Linked DNA regions of Coturnix japonica. The protein of the gene in region 2 interacts with the protein of the main gene of each other region in a pairwise test. Links are inferred from orthologs where the notes say so. Each region holds a gene or a part of one and is shown on either strand. Other genes may lie near its edges.

Evidence for each region. The genes of interacting proteins can lie anywhere in the genome.
Region 1: the proteins of TOPBP1 (region 2) and CIP2A interact in a two-hybrid assay, tested with the Homo sapiens proteins (2 studies listed by BioGRID). The link is inferred for Coturnix japonica from reciprocal best matches to the Homo sapiens genes TOPBP1 and CIP2A.

Annotation. Positions count from the first base shown.
Region 1 is NC_029516.1:78,514,663-78,524,882, reverse strand, and holds part of CIP2A (protein CIP2A), read left to right. Parts: intron 1-1,768; coding exon 1,769-1,916; intron 1,917-2,977; coding exon 2,978-3,090; intron 3,091-4,438; coding exon 4,439-4,533; intron 4,534-4,929; coding exon 4,930-5,026; intron 5,027-5,711; coding exon 5,712-5,834; intron 5,835-5,982; coding exon 5,983-6,128; intron 6,129-6,710; coding exon 6,711-6,786; intron 6,787-7,634; coding exon 7,635-7,862; intron 7,863-8,327; coding exon 8,328-8,487; intron 8,488-9,489; coding exon 9,490-9,631; intron 9,632-10,220.
Region 2 is NC_029517.1:39,221,257-39,231,476, forward strand, and holds part of TOPBP1 (DNA topoisomerase 2-binding protein 1), read right to left. Parts: coding exon 10,136-10,220; intron 9,062-10,135; coding exon 8,888-9,061; intron 8,041-8,887; coding exon 7,931-8,040; intron 7,310-7,930; coding exon 7,186-7,309; intron 6,817-7,185; coding exon 6,667-6,816; intron 6,176-6,666; coding exon 6,067-6,175; intron 5,490-6,066; coding exon 5,297-5,489; intron 4,475-5,296; coding exon 4,251-4,474; intron 3,575-4,250; coding exon 3,411-3,574; intron 2,001-3,410; coding exon 1,886-2,000; intron 1,370-1,885; coding exon 1,206-1,369; intron 514-1,205; coding exon 373-513; intron 31-372; coding exon 1-30. UniProt on the Homo sapiens protein: Scaffold protein that acts as a key protein-protein adapter in DNA replication and DNA repair. Composed of multiple BRCT domains, which specifically recognize and bind phosphorylated proteins, bringing proteins together into functional combinations.

The DNA of each region.
Region 1 (10,220 bases), on a different chromosome or scaffold from region 2:
TGCGGGGCGGAGGAGGGAGAAACAGCTTAGATCTTTCCTGAACTCTAACAACCCTCCACTAAATCAGTTCCCTGAACACCACATCCAAATAGTTTTTAAACACATTCAGAGGTGCTGACTCAACCACCTCCCTGGGGAGCCCATTCCAGTGCTTAACTACCCTTTCTGTAAAGAAGTTTTTCCTGATATCCAGCCTGAACTTACCCTTGCAGAACTTGAGGCTATTTCCCCTTGTCCTGTCACCAGTGAGAAGAGACCCACCCTACTCTCACTGCAATCATCTTTCATGTATTTGAAGAGAGCAATAAGGTTTCTCCTCAGCCTCCTTTTCCCCAGACTAAGCAATCCCAGTTCCTTCAGTTGCTCCTTGTATGGCACATTCTCCAAGCTCTTCACAAGCTTTGTTGCCCTTCTTTGGACCTGCTACAGCACCTCAATGTCACTTCTGTATTGAGGTACCCAAAACTAAACACAGTATTCAGGGTGGGACCTCACTAAAGCCGAGCACAAGGGCAGGATGACTTCCCTAGTCCTGCTCACCACACCATTCCTGATACAAGCCAGGATGCTACTGGCCTTCTTGGCCACCTGGGCACACTGCTGGCTCATATTCAGCTGACTGTCCATCCGTATGTCAAGGTCCCTTCCTTCCAGGCAGCTTTCCAGCCACTCCCCCCCAAGCCTGCAGGGTTGCCTGGGGTTGCTGTGACCAAAATGCAGGATCTGACACTTGGCCCTACTGAAACTCTTATGGTTTACCTTGACCCACTGATTCAGTCTATCCAGGTCCCTCTGTAGTGCCTTTCTACACTCCAGCAGATCAACACTCCCTCCTAACTTGGTGTAATCTGCATTCTTACTGAGGGCGCATTCAATCTCCTCATCAAGATCACTAATAAAGATGTTAAATAGAAGTGGCTGCAGTACTGAGGCACTGGGGACACCACTTGTGACCAACAGCCAGCTGGATTTAACTCCATTGACCACAACTGTCTGGGCCTGGCCATCCAGCCAGTGTTTCACCTAGCAGAGCGAACACCCATCCAAACTCTGGCAGCCAGCTTCTCCATGAGGATGTTGTGGGGGACAGTGTCAAAGGCTTTACTGAAGTCCAGGAAGACCACGTCAACAGCCTTACCCTCATCCACTAAGCGGGTCACCTTTTCATAGAATGAAATCAGGTTTAACAAGCAGGATCTACCATTTGTAATCTTTTCCAGCCTCAGTGATTCTGTGATTAACTTCATCTATTGTAGAAAAGTACAGGGAGGATATGGGGGAAAAAAAATTACATTGTTCTATCATGCATATATAACAAAAGTCCAGTTATGTTGCTGTGCAAGTCTGTCACTTTTACTATCCCCTTAAATGGGCTTTCCTTTAACTCAAGGTTCCATTTTTCATTGTAATTGTAGAATTCTCACTAAACAGCACAATCTGTTACCACTGATCTTCAAGCAGAATGAAACCTTTGTATTTCAGTCCAGTTCTTCAGAAAACAGGTTATTGAATCAAACTGAGTACCACAGGTATGTACCAGAGATGCATACAGAGGAGTAGGACCTAGTTTGTTTTTTGTTTATTTTTTATGTTTAAATTTACACAATACAAACCTGAGCGTCGTACTAGATTGACAGTTATGTTCTCATTCTGTCAGATTTGGCAAAAATCTATGTAATATCACTTTGTACTATTAAATACGCTTTGTATAATGAATACTCAGTAGCAGTTAAGTAATTGAGGTTTTTTTTTCTCCTTTTATCTCCAGGTTATCTCAGGACTGAAGCTTACAAGATTATTTGCTTCCAACCAGATTCTCCCAAGTGAATGTCTTAATTGCCTGGTAGAACTCCTTGAGGATGCGAATATAGATCCTTCTCTGACATTGTCTTTGGTGACTTTACTATCACAGCTGGGTAAGGTTTGCACTATAACATTAATCTTGGATCTGAGAAAGAGAAGACAGATGTTGATTCTGTGGCATGTGTGATGAACTTCTTGGAAAAACCAGAAGTATGAAAAATGTATAGCTTTTGAAGTGCTTGCCTGGCCCACCAGACAATGCATACAAGATCAGATAAGGTGTTAAACCACTGTTCAAAACAGATTTGAAGTCATTATTGTGAAACGACAGTGTTTTGTATTTATTAGAATTGCTCTAGACCCATGTGCTTCAAATCTCCCAGGTTGAAAATAGATTCTAGAGCTTTTCATTTGTTTGTTGGGGTTGATTTTCTTTCATAGAAGTGTGACTTCTTCATTTATCTATGGAGCTCTGTGCTCACCATAACTGCATATGTAAGTTATGTGTACGTGGAAAAAATTCTCTTATCTCTCAGCTTAGGCTTTCTTGGTAGATGTGGGTGGTTCTTTGAGATTCAAGTTGCTTAGGATGACTTGTTGTTTATCTTCTCTTTTTTAAATTTTTGAAATGATTACTGTAAAATAATACGTTGTTGGGGTTCGTAATCCAACCTTTTGGATTTGGAGAACTTTAAGAATCAGTTATCCTCCAATTGTTCTATTGTTTTATCTTTCTTCCTTGTTTGCTGTGTCTTTTCCATGACTGTTTAAGCAGAACAGGTTTTTTTTTGTATTACTATTGCTAGATAACCTTATCAAGCAATCAGTTTTAGTCTGCTTGCCTATCTTAGCATGCAGAAGGAAACTAAGTTCATTGATTTCGAGCTTTAAAGCTTCTCAAGATTTCAAATTAAGTTGAAACTTTGTAGTTGAAACTTTGTCATTGTCCAAACATCTCAAGGAAAAGTCTTAGTGTTTCAACAGACTGTGAGCTCAGAATTGAGGTGGAGATTCAAGTGTGTAGGAGCTGTGATTTATAATAGTGAAGTATATGTGGAAAACTGATGAAAGGCTTTAGGTTATGCTTAGATCAGTCACTAATACAATAATTAGTTTTGCTGTTGCAGAGGATTGTGGGTTGGTGGTTTATTCTTCAATAATTCTTAAATTCTAGCTTCAGACAATGAGACAAGAGAAGCTCTTCGGGACACCTACAGTCTGACCAATGTGCTGGCAGGAGTGGTTCATCGAAGTTCTACTAATCTTAGTGATCCAGTCTTATTACAGGTAACAGGAACTAATGCTTAATAGTTGAAACAAGCTGGTTGTTTTATTTACTGTGTGAATCTAGCATGACAGGATTTTAGCACTGCAGAGTTCTGTGTATTCTGTCTGTAATATTGCTTGTACTTCTTACCTCTTCTAATTCATTTAGAGAAAAAAGAGAAATATTTTTAAACTAGAAGCTTCTACTGTGTGAAACTACCAGTTGAGGGCTTGGAAGCTTATTTTTCATTCTGTTTTTCATTGTATTTATTTTCAGTGAATATGCAACATCTCCCAGTCCAATTTCACCAACTTGCACCTATAATTTCTGTGCGCTCAGCAACAAAGTTGGACTTTCTTTTTTCCTCATACGTGGCTTTGTGTTCTCAGTATGTGTTTGCTGGCCATTTGTGGTCACATCTCTTTTCTTTGTAAGGCAAACAAAATATCGGTGGGAAGATGAGTCAAGCATCCAGTGCAGTATAGAATATTTTTCTGATGTTTAGCATACTTCTCAAAGTATTAGAAGTTCCAGAAGCTTTAAGAATCCCATTTGACTTGTCAGTCAAGGGGGAAGACTTTCTAGCCACCAAGTAAATCCATTTATAAGCCCCTTAAGCTCTTATGTCAGCTATTCTACACAGTGAGATTTCAGCTGCTATCCTTAGCTATGCTGTGGTTTTTATCATGTCTGAATATACTTGTGTCACATTTAAATAAGTTATATGACAAAAGAATGCTGAATGAAAGACAGTACTATCACAGTATCACAGTCTGGTGTGAGTTGGAAGGGACCTTAGAGATCATCAAGTCCAACCCCCGGGATTTGAGCCTCCTGTGTAGCAGTGTGACACTTCTACCACTTGCGCCACAGGGGGGATTCGAACCCGGGCCTCTGGTGTTGCAAGTGGCATTCCTATCACAACGCCAACGCAGATCATTAAATCTGTTGTCAGTCCTTATGGTACAACACACCTGTTTTACTATAAACGTACTTCCTGCTAGAGACTATAGAATACTTTGGATTTTGGTGAAACTTCTAGGTCTTTCACTGGCGGAATGGACAATTGACTGATGAGGAAAAAGGGGAGAATTGGATGGGCTAAAGTTGACTCTCTGCCAAAATAAAACCTTGCTAATATGTTTGGTCTTTTACTAAGTACGTGGAGATCAGTGTGGTAGGATGTTACTCAATGTGCTTACAGCAGCTTGCCTAATTGTGATGTTAACATCACAACTGGAAAATGAATCAATTTGTCGTGCTTTATCTCTCTATTCAGCTTCAGCTGCAAGAAAATACCTTATGTACTTAACATTCTTCAGTGAGATGCTGTAGGAAAGGCATGTGAATAGCTTTTTATTTCCTCAGAGTATTCAGTTGCTGCAGAGGCTGACCTACAACGTTCCAGTCTTTTGCGCTGGTGCCAACATCGATGAGCTGATTTCATTTCTAATGCATCACGTGTAAGTTTGTGTTCACTTATCTTTGCTCATGGGAAATACCTGGCTAGGTTTCTAACCTTTCTGAAGCCCATGAGCCTATTGCACTAACGTGGTCTGCAGAGGGTGCTGTGATATTTTTGCTCTGAAGTTACCAGAGATGTTTCTGAAAAACATGTTGTTAAAGGTTATTAATGTGGTGGCTGTGCTACTGTAGGTGTCTGAATATTAATAGGCTTCTTAGCCCACCCCCAGGGAGGGGAGCTAACAAAGACAAATGCCAGGAAAAAAAATCATCCCTGTCACTGTAAGCATGTTTTCTCTAGAATAATACAAATTGTGCACAAGTCTAATGACTATTAAAGGCATCTGCTATAAATGAAAACATCTTTGTTTAAACCTCTGGTTTTCTCTATTAAGTCAATCTACAGAAGATGAGCTAACAATACCGTGTTTAGGACTTCTGGCAAATCTCTGTCGTCACAACTTACCTATTCAAACTCAGATAAAATCTTTGGTAAGTGTTTTGTTTCTCTCTGACGTAGGGGTAAGAGTGAGTTACTTACTTGAGCTTTTTTTTTGCAGCAGCAGTAATAATCCTGTCCTTGTTGTACAGTGTTTTGTCAAACGATAGTGGATATTTCTCTCATGTTAAGGAAAAAAATCAGCAGAACTGAAAGCTGTGTGTTTTCTCTTGTTGCTGTGTTGTTGCACAGGCTTGTATTATGCATTCAGTTACTGCTGCTGTTCTCTACAAGTGAAAGGTGAACCTGAAGTTTGAATATCTGTTCCTTAGAAGAATTAAACGTTGTAGTATATATATATATTTTTCCAAGCTGCAGTAACTTTGGCCTGTAAAGAGATTTGCTTCTTCAAAAGATAAATCCATAAAATACCACTGATCTTGATGTCAGGTCAGGACCTTTGAATCTTCGAGTACACATCCATATCTGATCTACACAGTCTGTCTGTTCATCCATCAGTGCAAACAGCTTATTTCCTCAGTGGAGGAATATAAATTCATCTGCATGATGGCAAATGTTGTACTACTTACCTTGGAAGAATTGCAGAGGAAAAAAAGGAATTGTGTTATTATTATTCATTATTTGTATCTCTTGTTTATACATATTTGCAATATGTAAGTTTGGTGCTCTTACAGAACAAAATAAAATTTGTAATACCTGTGCTTCTCTGCATTTTAGAATAACGTGAAGAGTTTCTATCGTGCCTTAATAAGTTTCCTGGCTCACAGCAGTTTGACTATGGTTGTATTTGCACTTTCAATATTATCAAGCCTTACTTTAAATGAAGAAGTAGGAGAAAAAGTAAGTGATATTTTGAAATCACTTTTATTTTCAAGTTGTCAATAAATCTATTGACCACACTCACAAAATAATTGTAGCTAATTTTAATGTGCAAGAGACCTGAGCAAGCAAAACACGTTTGCATGTGTAATTTTATTTTTCCTTTCAGCTCTTTCATGCACGGAATATCCATCAGACTTTTCAGTTAATATTCAATATTGTTGTAAATGGAGATGGTACTCTAACAAGAAAATATTCTGTTGATCTACTTATGGATCTCCTGAAAAACCCCAAAGTTGCAGATTATCTTACCAGGTACGGCTTCATTAAAATTCACAGCTGCTTCTTGAGTGTTACTACATGATTAACTGCTGTATCTGAAGCTAAAGGATTCTTGTGTTACCTGTTTTACACAGAACCATACATCAAAACCTGTTCTGTAATTGCTGCTTAAGAAATGCTTAATGATTGTGTTCAGTAATTCTCAGTATTGGTGGTCAGACAATCTGATGAAATAGCTATCATGGTATTTTTTTGTAGTCCTGCAGTATTTTGAAGTGCAGTAGTGTTGTCAAAGTTATAATAACTTTCCTGCAGGTCACCACGGAGTTATGCAAAATGCTTGTCTACTGGTTCTGCACATTCAACTAATAGAACTTAGTTGCTAAACTTCAGTCCAGATCTCTAGCAGTAAAAATACTTGTTCTAATTCTGAAAATATTTTTAAAATTTACCTCATATGGCACTGAAATTACACCATCAGAAGTATTACTCTATTTGAAGCGTTGGGGGGTAAAAAGGAAACTGGACACAGGTATTCATTACTTGAATGCTGTTAGAGATTGATACCAAATTCTAAACTATTTTTTTCCATCTTTCCTTCCATGTGTGCTGTAGATATGAGCACTTCACCTCATGCCTTGGTCAGGTATTAGATCTCCTTCATGGAAAGGATCCAGATTCATCATCTAAGGTACTTCTTCATCAGAAGAGCAAGAGGATGCAACTCATAATATAGTTCCACATCTGTAGCCATAAGTAGATGCCTTGTGTGTGAGGGCTGATAATGAAGTAAACTGATATAAAGACTCTTTATTGACCATACAGTGTTTATCAGCTTAGGTCTAATTTTTCAAAAGACAATATGTTTGAATTTTTGCTTGGTGTTTGTTTCCTGGTAGTTCTAAAAACTTAGAAATACATTCTTCCACAGTATTTGAACAATTTGATGCCACGTTGGGTTAAGCAGTTCACTGCTGCATTCAACTTTGTCTCACTGCCACCCTACGTAATTGAAATATCAGCTACGTGGTGCTAAATGCTAAAATAGGACTTGCCCGGAAAATGTTTCAAAGATCTATGTTGACTAAACAATCTTAAACTTTTCTAATGAAAGCATTTTGCTTCATGGTAAATGATGAAAGCTAATGTTTCCATGTGTGTGGTTTTTTTTGTTGTTGTTGTTGTCTGTTGGTTATAATTTAGAAATGAGTTGACACAGAGCTTGGAGCTTTCGAGGGGTCTTTCATCTTCATCTCATGGCTATCTTTCCGTATCTCAGAATAGCATTTCTGCAGCTGATAGGTTATTAGAGAGCAGTTGGTCCTTTTTCTTTTTTATTTTTGATCAGTGGCCTAATGGACTGTGTTTCTGCTGCTGACTTGACTTTAAAGAAAGAAAAATATCCTTCACAGAATTTTAAAATGTCAAGAGCAATTGTTTATAACTTAGATATCCCTTTAGATTTGTGCTATGGAGTTGCAATTTCTGTATGAGTAATTGGTTTAAAAGTATTTGAACTCTTTCATTCACTTCATACAGATCTTAGAACTGCTGCTTGCCTTCTGTTCTGTGGTAGAACTGCGTCATACCCTGCGACAGGCAATACTGGAACCATCTGTCTTGCCAGTCTCTGGAAATACCAGATTTGTGACTCGCTCAAAGACTTTTGAACCATCTGTTTCATTGGTGCATTTGTCAAACCAACCATTGGAAGGCTCTGAAGACTGTTCAGTTCTAGCACTGCAGCTATTCAAAGAGGTTTTTGAGGTACGAATGCTAATGATTGAGTTTAAAGTACTTCTGAGGTGCTGTATTTTTGCTTTGATTGATTTTTAAACTTTTATTAGTGTTTTACCTGAAAAGTAGGATGTAAAAAATATACCAGAAACATTTTTAAAATTCCATAATTTGTCAAACATCTGTTTTTAAACACATTAAAAATGTATTTTGAAGACTGTATTATAAATATATCTTTTTTCTGAAAATTATGTTGGCCGTTCGTGAAGCAGACACAAAACTATTTAATACTTGTTTTCAAGGACTTATAGAAGTGTGTTTCTGCTTTTTCAGTGTTATTTGTTATACTTGCTTCTCCAGTATGTTACTGATCATATGTCTTAAACCTGAATTGCCCTGGGAAAGCTTGAATACAAGCTGAATGCAAGAAGTAGAGTAGGCTTGTCTTCCTTATTCTGTAGTTCTAAATATTGACATAAAATTTGTTTATTACAGGATGTCATTAGTAGCGGGAACAGTGCCTCAGCTGAACACTTTGTGGATCTTTTGCTGCCTGTTCTTCTTGATCATCTTCAGATGCCAGAACAGACTGTGGAAGAGCTGTTAGTGAAGAAAAAGTGTGAAAGAATGGTCAAGGCAATTAACATCCTCACAGATATCCTTTTTTTATGTGCCTATTGTCAGTTAATTTATTACTTCTCCACTATGATCTGTTCTAAGGCATTAGAAGAAACATCCATCTCAGCTCACTCTAACAGCTGTTAATGGCAATAACTGTACTGATCTTACTTAGGACTGTCATATTGAAGGACCTTTAGTAGCTTTATAATTGCTGTGAATTTATTCTGTGGTTCAGGGATTCCAAATAAGGTGTGCTTGTTCAACAGAATAGAAGCACTTTACAGATGAAAAACATAAGTGTTTTCTACAAGAGGCATTTGGGTGGCCTTCTTAATTGGTGTAATATTTTGGTCTAGCTAAGTCCATTGCAGTGTCCAGCCAAATATGGTGACGGTTTTGATCAGTGGAGCAAGAGGAAAAATAATGTGAAGTTGTTCCATTTTATACTCCCTGTTTCTTTCATTAGAATGTAAGAGCAGTTTTCCTTTTTCACTTTAACCTCCTGTCTGTGACAGGATTTGCACCACATTTGGTGTGGTGTTTGGTGAATAAGCAAATGCATCATGTCAACTTCTAGCATCCAGCTATGAATTTCTTGAGAAACATGCCACCTTCTGCTTCTGTGTTGCTTTTTTGAATTTGGTGTCATGAAATAAGAAGAACATAACTGCGGGATGTAGTCTGGCATCTCAGCTGAATTCTGTGAAGAAGTCTCTTGATTGGCTCTCCCTTAAAGCTAGTCCTTTCTTTAGGTACTGATTGTTCAATCCCTCTTGTTCACATTCCTTATGCAGTTCATATTATTGTAGTTTCCTTGGCTGTCTGTTTCCAAGTGCATACTTGATTTAGCTCAACAGAGCAGTTGAACACTTGGCTTGTGTGTTAAGCATGACTAAGTGGTTTATGCAGTTGGGCTTCAAAAGCATTTTTGGAGTATATCATGTTTTGGTATGCTAGCTTCTCTTTTATTATTAAAATAATGCCTTACGGTGCCAATACCTAGCATAGATCAAGTTTTATTCTTAACTCAGCCTACTGCTTTGTAGAGATGATGTACTGAAAATGCACACCTCAAAGCTACTGACTGCCAACAAATGTGTGTCTCTAATTGAACACCAGTTTACCTATAGTGGGATCGATGCTGGTTTTGGGACAAAGGTAGTGGACTCTAAAATGTGGTGAGCACAAAGATTTATCTAAAATTTAATTTACTTAGACTTGTGTGAGAGTTGCTATATTGTTCCAATAGTAAGTATACCACAGTTGAAATTACTGTTTAAATGCAAATAATTCAGTACTGTTTTAAAATCAAATTTAGTATTTTTATACCAATAAGATGTAACATGCTAGTCAGTTCAATGAATAAACCTAGCTTAAACATTCTGGTATTGCTTTGTGTGTAGGTTGGATTTCCATTTATGTGGTACAGTGATTTTTTAAATCTCATCCAGAACTTTATCTGTGTTGTTGCTTATCAGAAATGATGTCATCCATCATCAATGCTGGGGAAAGAGGAGAGGGATGTGGTTGCAGTGGGGGAAAAATAACAACATACAACAGAAAACACATCCCTTCAGTTCAGTGTCACTGATTTAAATGTCAATAAAACTAATAGTTATATGCCCAATAAAATAAAATTGACCTGTAATTAAAACCTCTTCACTTTCAAGGTCAAAGTGCTTTAGCCTTCACTGCTATCCACGCTATGCTGGAAAATCTCAGTAGACCATACAAGGAACTGAACGATCTCTCATGGTATTAGCACTC
Region 2 (10,220 bases):
CAGGATCACTTTCCAGCCACTGAAAGCTCCCTAGATAAAAGACTCCATTTAGCCATAATGATGTTGACACTACAAAAGCACAGACTTCACAGACCCCTCACTTGCCTCCTTTGGGAGTAGCTATCAGACAAACATTTGCAGTCACCTGGTTTTGTCCTTCTACATTGTAAAAGGCAGAAAAAAAGCACAGTATAAAACTATCAGGCCTACTATCAGGTTACCTAACTAACTAGAAGATATCCAGCTAAGCCATTTTGTTCTTAGTAAGACAAATTCACTTTTCCTGACAGAGAAATTTCTGGGTTTCTCAGTGACAAATCCCATCTTGGCCATCCACACTGTACACATTATATCCAACACACATCTCAGTACCTCAGTAATTCCAGTTTCTTGCCTTCCTTTATGAATTTTTTTCCTCCACCTCATGGCTGCGAGCGCTAGCTTCTTCTGGTTTACATTGATTCCAGGCAAAACGTTAAGTATGGAATCACTTCCCCACTCATAATCTTCTTCCTAGAATAATCATAGGCATGAATTACAGAGAAGTCTTGTCAATTTTATTAGCAGAAAGATTAGTACTAAAAAAACACATCCAGAACAAATCACAAATCAGTCTAGATTTATGCATCTATTTTATCTGAGCAAAACAGCTCTTGATAAAGTTAGAGATATGTCTCTTAAATGCATGTAATTATGCCCATGCATAAAAACTCTCCACAGTTTTAAATCAACTCCTGTTTTCTGTAACAGTAATGCACATCATATACAATCAAGCTATTCTTGTGGTTATCAGCAGTGGAATTCAACAGTACTGCAAAGCCACTTCGGACATTTTTGAAGAGGGTGCTCAAAACGCACAGGTTTATGGGGTTGGAATCTTTAAAGCTTTGCTGATGTATAGAAAAATTAAGAGTTAATTCCTGGCGTACGAGATCTGTGACCTCAAGATGAATAACTAGTGAAAAATTAACAAGAGATATTCAAGCTTCAATTTCCAGAAACACCAATGAAGTACAGGTATTTCATTTGTCCTGTGCTAGGACAAGTTTGGTCAGGAACCTGTTTTCAGAGACGAGCTTGCCAAAAGTTCCTGAGATACCCTAAAAACCCCAAGGTTGCTTTTGAGAAGTTGTTTTCCAGTAAAATAAAAAGAGACATTAAAAAAAAGCGCAACATTCTAGTTCCTCAGTAACGAGGTTACATGCCTGAACAAAGCAGCCAGCTCCTCTACACGCCTCCAGGTAGGAACGATGAAGCACCCACTTTCCAGCTGCCATCGAGGCCAGGAATTTCTCATTTCGAAGAGGATGTCCCACAACAATGTGTGTGCAACTTGGATCAAAGCACTGTTTCTCAAGCACTATTCCACCTTGGAATTGAGGATTTAATATGATTCAAGTTATTTAGAGTTCAGGCTGTACCACAAAAAAGAAATCACACAAAGTGAGAATTATTTGAATTTAAAACAAAGAAAAAAAAAGAAAATCTCAGATTTACACTGAAAATATTTTTTAATTGATAAGGGAGAAGCTGGCAAGGAAAGAGGAGCTCTGGGAAAAGAAAACAAGTGGTAGTATAACAGAGACATGAATGGGAGACACCAGAAGACAGCAGACCCTAGACACTCCTGACAGTAAAGAATGGGGCTGTTGTGGAGACAGCTAAAAGAAACTGCCAGAATACAAAACCATTGCTGTTTTATAGCAAAGCTGATCACTCACATAATAATAATATATTCAAGGAATTGCTTGCAAGCACAGAAAACCATAAATCTGAGAGCTCCAATCTGACAATTCATTAACAGAAGCCCTTTCTTTTCCCAGAGAGCTACAGCTGACCAGCTTATAACACACACTATGCCATGCATTTCACAAATATCTGGTACCTAATTCCTCAATCAGATGGCAGTAGTCAAATCTTTCTTGAGGATTAAGAGAAGACAGCTGAAATTTACGGCATTTTTCTGGTTCTTCATCTACCTTCTCATTTTCTGTAGCAGCCTGAAAATACAGCAACAGATTTTGGAAATATTACAGAAAGATTAGTTTGACAGCTGATTATTTCCCTGTGAGCAATTCTGGGTTATTTTTATGTTAAGTTTTCTTTTAGCATGGAAAAGAAGAACCAAATCTGTCAATCACTTGACAAAAGCTGGATCTTATCAAATCAGCATTAAATTCCTGCTTAACATCCTCTCGGTTCCCCCCTTTTTTTAGGGCAGAAGTGAACAAATCTGTCATAAAAACTAATCCATATTCACTGAATGCCAAGCTGAACACATGAAATAACCATCATCCCTCTATCACACTACCTCATCCATTCAGGCTTTCTTTAACTCCCAAGGCCCACTATATATTTCCACCACAGCTTATTCAGTAACATGACACTGCAGCCCTCTGAAGAGACACAGTCGGTGCTGGAAGTTGGAACATCAAATGAGACAATGAAGGCAAAAACCTAAACTCATCTTCCTAGTTGCTTTCAAGTTCACTATATGTTAAATTTCTGAACCAGATTTTTGTCCAGAACAAAAATATTCAGTTGGTATTTAAGCCTAAATTCCAAACACCATCTGCAAAATACAGGTATAACTTTTTTTCTATCATCCTAACGTGGCTTGAGTTCCCCCTCCTGCTTATAAGCACCCATAAAGTAGTAGAAGGCTGCAAGGAGGTCTCCCTGGAGCCTTCTCTTCTCCAGGCTAAACAAGACCAGCTACTTCAGCCTATCTTCATAAGAGAGGTGCTTCAGACCTCTGATCGCCTTCATGGCCTCCTTAGGACCTGCTCTGACACTTCCATGTCTTTTCTGTGCAGGGGGCCCCAGGTCTATACGAAATACTCCAGACGGGGCCTCAGAAGGGCAGAGAGGAACAATCATCTCCCTCGTCCTTCTGGCCACCAGGATACAGATGGTATCCCAGGCTGCAAGCACACACTGCTAGCTCACGTACAGCTTTTCATCCACCAGGATCCCCAACTCCTTCTCCATAGGGCTCTTCTCAGCTCATTTCACGTGGATGCTGTTGCCACTGCTGAAATGCACCATCCACTAACTCACTGTGCTCACATCCACTGTTTGGTCTCCATAAACATTCAGTAAGCAGTGCTGAATGTCAATGGGTGCCATTTTTTCCACATGGAGGAATTTAATGCCCCACTTTCTCTTCAGATGCACTTGCATGTCAGACACCGTTTTGCCAGACCGCCCCCCTGCTGCCATCTGTCACACAGCAACAACATGTAATGAAATACTATTGAAAACATTTAATCCCTACTGCCATACCACTGACATCTGCCTCTCATGGGCGAACACAATAACACAGGAGGCATTACTTTCAGAGCAGCCCTTAAAGTATAGCTACACTTTTAGAACACATACAATCATGAGCATTTCTTCAAATGTCAAACCTTTTCTTTGGGCTGCGGTGCCACAGGAGGGTTAGCCAGTGGGAATGCAATGCTGGGAGCCTGCGGAGTGGGGATCAAGTGATCTTTAATGGGTGTTTCAGGATCTCTACATACAGGATTCTTCAAATCTTCAATCGTATCTCCATCCCCAGCCTCAGGAACAACTGAGGAAGTAAAACACTGTTACAGGATTTGTCCTTAGACAAATATAATTATGGACAAAGTACAAAAGTAGTTATCCTAAATAGCTGCTACAACATGCACAGTTAACATGTCAATATTGCCCTTCTTAAAAGGTGCTCTTCCTTATACCACAGACCACTGACTGAACCTTGCAGGCCATCTCCCTGGATGCCCTGTTTTGAAAAGCAGAAAAACCTCAAATGACCTGATTTCTTTTGCTAAATGCACTTACGCAGTTAAACAAAACAAAACAAACAAAATCAACTGAACTTATTTAGCTAATTTTCTTCCTAGCAGAAGATTAAGACTTCATAAATAATAGGGAAGATGAACATAGTATTTTGACTAAATCATAATGGAAACAAATTCATAAGTAGCTCTCAGATACTATTTTTGGCGCTCACAAGTATCTTCTTCCTGCTCCTTCATTCTTTACCTACTAACATTAAAAAAATTCTGCTACTAGCATTCCAATTTGAATTCCACTGTATCTACGTGACCTGTCTGCTTTGGTGTTTGACCACAGATGAAATCCCAACACTGTTCACTCTTTAAGTATGTCTGAAGTAAAATCTAAGCATCACCGTATTTTAAAATCTCCAAGGATAAACCCGATGTTGTAAGAAAAATGGTATTTCATTTCTGACTTTATTTTACCTATACCAGCAATCTCTGCATCAGGTATAGATCCTTTGAAGGTAGACTCATCCATGTTCCTGTTGACATTACTCTGAGCTTGCTCTGTGAAGGAAGGACTGTTAGGCCACTGAAAGTTGCTAACAAGTCTCGCTCTCTCCTCCCTCGCTGTAGGATCATCCCAGATGATCTGCTCACTCTGGGATGGCTCCGTGTTGATATCTGTGAGAGCCTGACGAGATTGCCTGAGAGAAAAAGCAGAGATACCTTAAATACTCCTTTGTTTTACAGAAGACTACCATACTAGAAGGTAACATTTTAAAAATCACATCAACCATAACATCCAAGTGACGTTATTAGAAAGCGTGTCCAGAAAAGTGGAAGCCTTCAGTATGAAAGCAACTTTGGCAATCTGCCTTTGTGGGTTTAAGGGTCAGCATGGCTGAAAAAAGGCAACCATAACATTAAGTAGGAGATATTTTCACCACTTGTCATGCTGATGAATTATTTCATAATCAGTGCACTCTACCCTTTACTGAACCTTTTAATTTGAAGACAAACACCCAACTAAAGGAATGACTTTGAAAGATTTTGATTACATTCTCACTGGAGCAACTCAGCACTGCTGGAACTAAAATCCTATTCACCATGATTACACAGAGAGAAATGAAGAAATGATAAATATTCACCAAGAACTTCATAGGAACAACTACTATTTGTATGTGACCAAGGTACTGAAATATTGCAGCACTGTTTTCTTCAAATATCTCTAACAACACTAACTAATCCGAAGACAAATTAGTTGGTTAGCACAATTCATTTCAAATTTAAAATACAATTCTATTCTACTATTTTTTGAAAAGCAAATATACTCATTTATACATAACTGTAGGATTAAGATTATACTCTGATTTTATCTAGCAGGTCTTGTTAAAGATTCTGAATTACAAGCAAATGAAGTATATCAGAACAGAAAGACAATACAACTGAAAACCCTGGAGATCTACTCATGTTTCAGTGATTGTCTGAGTAGAGAGGGTAAGACAAGATACACTGAAAACTGATACCTTAGAGCTTCCAAGGCCCTGCTGCGGCCATTTCGCACAGACCGGGCACTATCAGGAGTGGCTGGAGAACTATCAAAACTGTTCCTTGAAAGAGATCCTCTTTGTCCTTGTGGTTTCACTATTGATGTCGCAGACATGATCTCCTGCAGCTGCCTCTGGAAGCTCTCCCTCATTTCTAGTGCCTGGGTTAAAACTTCAAGAGAATAAACAAAGTCCACAAGATCAAGATTACTATAATAGGTGAAAAGTACAGCCATTAAAGTTAATTTCCCTCCCCTGTATCAGGGAGGAAGATTATCTAATCAAACAGGGAAAGACTATCTATGAGAATGAAGTATGACTGAAATCACCCATTTCTTGTCATAAGCAGGAATTCCCATTTGGATCACTTCTGAAATTGTACACACGATCTACCTTATATTCCACAACTCTCCTGTAACACACTTCTTTACATAACACAAAAATGTATACAATACTGATATTCTGTGCTAGAAATCAAACTTTGGTGTTTAAAAATAATAAAAAGAAATAGCAACTAAGTAATTTGTAATGGATTAGCCTAGTTTTGTAATAGACTGGCAAGATCTTTAAACTAGAGAGCAAAACCTCTCCCTCATACTGAGCAACAGCAACTAGCTGTATTTGACTGGTAAATAAATAACAGTACCTAAAGCTTTCACATCTTAACATTCAGCACCTGAAACTGTAGAAGACTTACACAGGCAGTTTGACATTATGTGACTATTCTGAGAACAGGAATTTATATTTACCTCCCTTGGATTCACTTGTTCCAGCGTGCTCCTCCCCTGTGCCAACTGTTTCCTTCACTTGGTCAGTAGTTAAATCATCTGCAGCATCATCTTCATCCACTGGAATAATCTAAAGCCGACAAAGACACGTAGAATACCACTTTGTTTATTTTTACCTTTGTTCAACGCTTGTGAAAATTCTGATGAAGAATAATCTCGCTTTAGAATAAATTAATCTTTATGCCACCACAATGACAGTAAAACAATGAACAATAGCATTAATGACAACACCTACTCTGCAGTCTATAGGTCTACTAAGTAAAGCTTGGATCTCTTGTTCACTTAAACAAGAAGGTAAAGAATGGGCTATGCTATTTCAGATGTGGAAAGCACTTCTAATCCTGAAATGTCTGTGTCTGCCTCTATTGTCCTAGAAGAGGATTACAAATGCAAGAAAAGCATGAAAGAGTATCTGCAATAGCTACTGTTAATTACTAGTGAAATCTGCTTCAGAGTATCACTGAATAAAGAAACAATTTCACTTATTACATTAAACATAACAGCCATGTGAACTGAATTCCCATGATGTCATAGAACATGAATTTCTATCACACACTATACCTCATTTTCTTCTGCTGGATTTCCAGTTGCTGGAAGCTTACTGGAAGAGGAGGGCCTGAAATCTTGCACCGCACTGATGTCCAGGCTCATTTTGGGATTGTAAGTGTGAGGAAAGAGAGATTCAGGAAGCTGTTTATATTCTTGGGCACACTGTAACAATATTAGTTAATATAAGAAAGATGAGAAACTGGATGAAAATTAATACAAGTTCCATATCTAAGCATATGAAAACGATCACAGAAAGATGTAGTTTACACAAGAGAAAAGTGCAGCTCTCATTCTGGGAAACATGTAGCAGAACTGCTGAATGAAAGAGAATTTCTTTTTGCCTTACAGAGTACAAGGTAAATGCATGCTAGTGAAATTTGTTCAACTCCTACGTTCAAAGCAGAATATAAAACATCAATTCCTATGTTCAATGTAAATTCCAACAGAAAATCAACTGCTATCTAATGAGTTTTAAGCTTTCTTTTCTGTTCATCTCTAGTATGAAGAGAAGAAAAAAACCAAGCTTCATACCTGTAAAAGCCAGTGTTCTGAAACAATATGTATTCCTCGTTCTTTAACAGATCTATATTCCTTGTTGCTGTCATTTTGTCCTCCCTTGTAGATGAAGTGTGTTACTGTTTCATCAAAACACCATCTAGAAAATAAAATGAAATACAACTTGAGGATATAATTATCTATCAAAAAGAATCAGCAGCTGATCCTAGAAATAATACCTACACTCTGATGAAGAAAGTGGGCTCATTATTTATTTAGTCATAACAAAAGACAGACAGCTTTCAGCTTCAGGACAGAATGCTTTCAATCTCTTTAAAAGCATTCCTGAAGTAAACAAGACTTAGTCTGACAAAGGTGTAAAGGAGAGTTAGGGATTTTGATTTGCTGTTACTTTTTGTTTTATCCAAGTAAATGAAGTTCCAAATCAGATCCTAAAAATAAGTGTGACAAGTTTATTATATGTTTTTCTTTTACTGACGTATTCTGATAAAAATACATAAACTAATAAAAATTAACATTTGTTATCTAAAGGAAATAGTCTGTAGTTCCTCTCAGTAACAGAAGCTGAAAAGAATAGGTTGTAATCACAAAACATAGTCACATTCACTACTTAAACATAAATCATTTAAGACAGTAAAACCTGAAGTTCAGCTACAGCAGAAGGTCCCCATAGATGAGGGTACTAAAATGCTAACATTCATATTTATTTCAGTTCCCATCAGGGCAGAAGCTTCAAAGTTTTCTTTTTTTTGTCTGATACCTGTAGTCTGCACCAAGAGAAGCTGCCACAGCGTTCAGTTCACTTTGCTTCTTACTAAGTTTTTTACTAACACATATAACAACACCAGCTAGAGGCTTGGACTCTTCTTCCTATTCAAGTAGGTGAAGAAAAAAAATCATGTTTAGAAAGCTTTTGTATGACTTACAGTAATATTTAAGTATTTAGTGTATTATGTGATCATATTTGTAATAACAGGAAAAGGAAAACTTTTTTTTTTCTGCTTTTGATATGTCCAATGTCCACATCAAAAGAGAGCGCAACTGTCCTTCCAAGCACTAGGGATCCAAAGACAAAAGATTCACTGAGCCATATTGTGCTTTTTTCATCACAGACTGACCGCTTCCCTGACCACCAAAATGAAGGAATTATCAAACCTGATACCACAAAAGCATTTCACTCTACCAGAGTGAAAAGGGAAAGAGTTCAGAAACTACACAATAAGAAATAACAACCTTCCCTTACTGAATGCCATTAGTTTCTTCCCCTCCTTCATAGTATATTGTGCAACAACATGAGAAGCAGTACACACACACTCGTTTCTCTCACTTCTTTTTCTGTTTTCTCTTATTAGAGTAGATTAGGCTGGAACTCTAACTTAAGTCAAACATAAAATATTTAATCCTGCCCATCAAGAGTCTAGGAGTTTCTAAATTGTTATAAAACCCTCCCATCCTAATGCTATGAAAACTGAATGGTCACAGCTCTATAAACCACGCTGCTTAGCAACTCCTTAGTATTTGGGATGGCAGTACAGACAGGAGAGAAAGACTGTTAAATTTTTGCTTGCTGCCTTATCTTGCGTTATTCATCTTTGAAGATGCAAAATCATACAGATTTTTACACAATGCACAAGCTCCTTTATAGCTTAACTCACAAAAGTTACAGCATTTTCTTAATCAACCTATGTTCCAACAGCTCATAACCAAGATCTCCTACCGCTTCTGGCTGTGCAGCCTTCAGCTGAGGGCTGGCAGTAAGAGCTTCTGTATTCCGAGTGCTGTTTGCCAGTGCCAATTTCAGGTTTCTGCCAATGACTTCAGAAAGAGGCGTGCTCAGCTTCCTGTTCCTTTGACCGTGACCTCCTGGAGTTTCCAAAGCTGCCAGAGCATCCTACAAAATAAAATAAAATAAAATAAAATAAAATAAACCCACCAAAGTAACCGACTGACTTTCATGAAGGCATTGCAACCAACATTCTCACTTGAGCAAGTTTCACAAATATAGTAGGAATGTTTCATACTCAAAAAAACAAGACTGTGTACTAGAGTAGCAACTAGCAAGCACAAATGAAAGTACCACTGCACAAAAACTGTACAAGAGAATCCCACTCTTAGTGTATACGTATATAAAACAGGAAGAAGAAAAGAGAAGATCTAATCCTCTTTTTCACTATCATCAGGGAGAACTCCCTGCAATGGAAAGAAGCCAGCAGCCAAATCCAGGCATTTCTAATCGCAAGCCATTTCCAATGAGTGCTCTTCCTTTGGAAGGGAAGAGGGGGAGGAATGGAAGAGAAGGGGGAAAAAATAATAATCCACCAGCACAAAAACCCTACAACTTGATAGAAAAAAATCAGTAAATTTACCTCCTAATCAAGGCGTTGATAATGAAAAGCAAATCAGAAGGCATCACAAGCACATTCAATTCGCTCAGTAGCTATTCCAGCACAGACAGACCTGGTGGTTTCTTTACCACTTTTCAGGTTGAGAGTTTTTCATGGCTTTCAGAATGAGAAAGTGAACCCAAAGCCATAATAATCCATTTCTCAATTTGCAGTACTAATTTTAACTGCTATACCATTGTTACGTTTTAGAAGTCATTAAAGTAGCATTTCATCACAGAACAAGTAAACATTTTTTTCCTAATATCTGGAGGAGTAAACAAGCCTTCTGGTTATATTTCTGTCATTCAATGCAAAGAACAGATTATGTTCTGTGAGGTGTAGTTCAAATAAGATGCAACAAGCACAAAGGAGCTTTGTTAAAAACTAAAACATCTACTACGAAACATTTAAATCACAGGTTGTTAACTAGCAATACATGCAAATTAACAGTGGCAGTTTTTCTGCTTTATTCAAAATAGGCTGTAGTTAACAGGGTGAAGAGGCTCATGACAATGTTTTTGTGTATGCATATTTTTGAATTCAATAGCTCCATCAACACAAAAGTTTGCAAAGAACGTTACCTTTACATCAAAAGAAGGCTTGAATAACTTGTCTTTGGAAAGAAATTTTGATGGTGTATCAAGGTGTAAAGACGGTTCTTTTTGT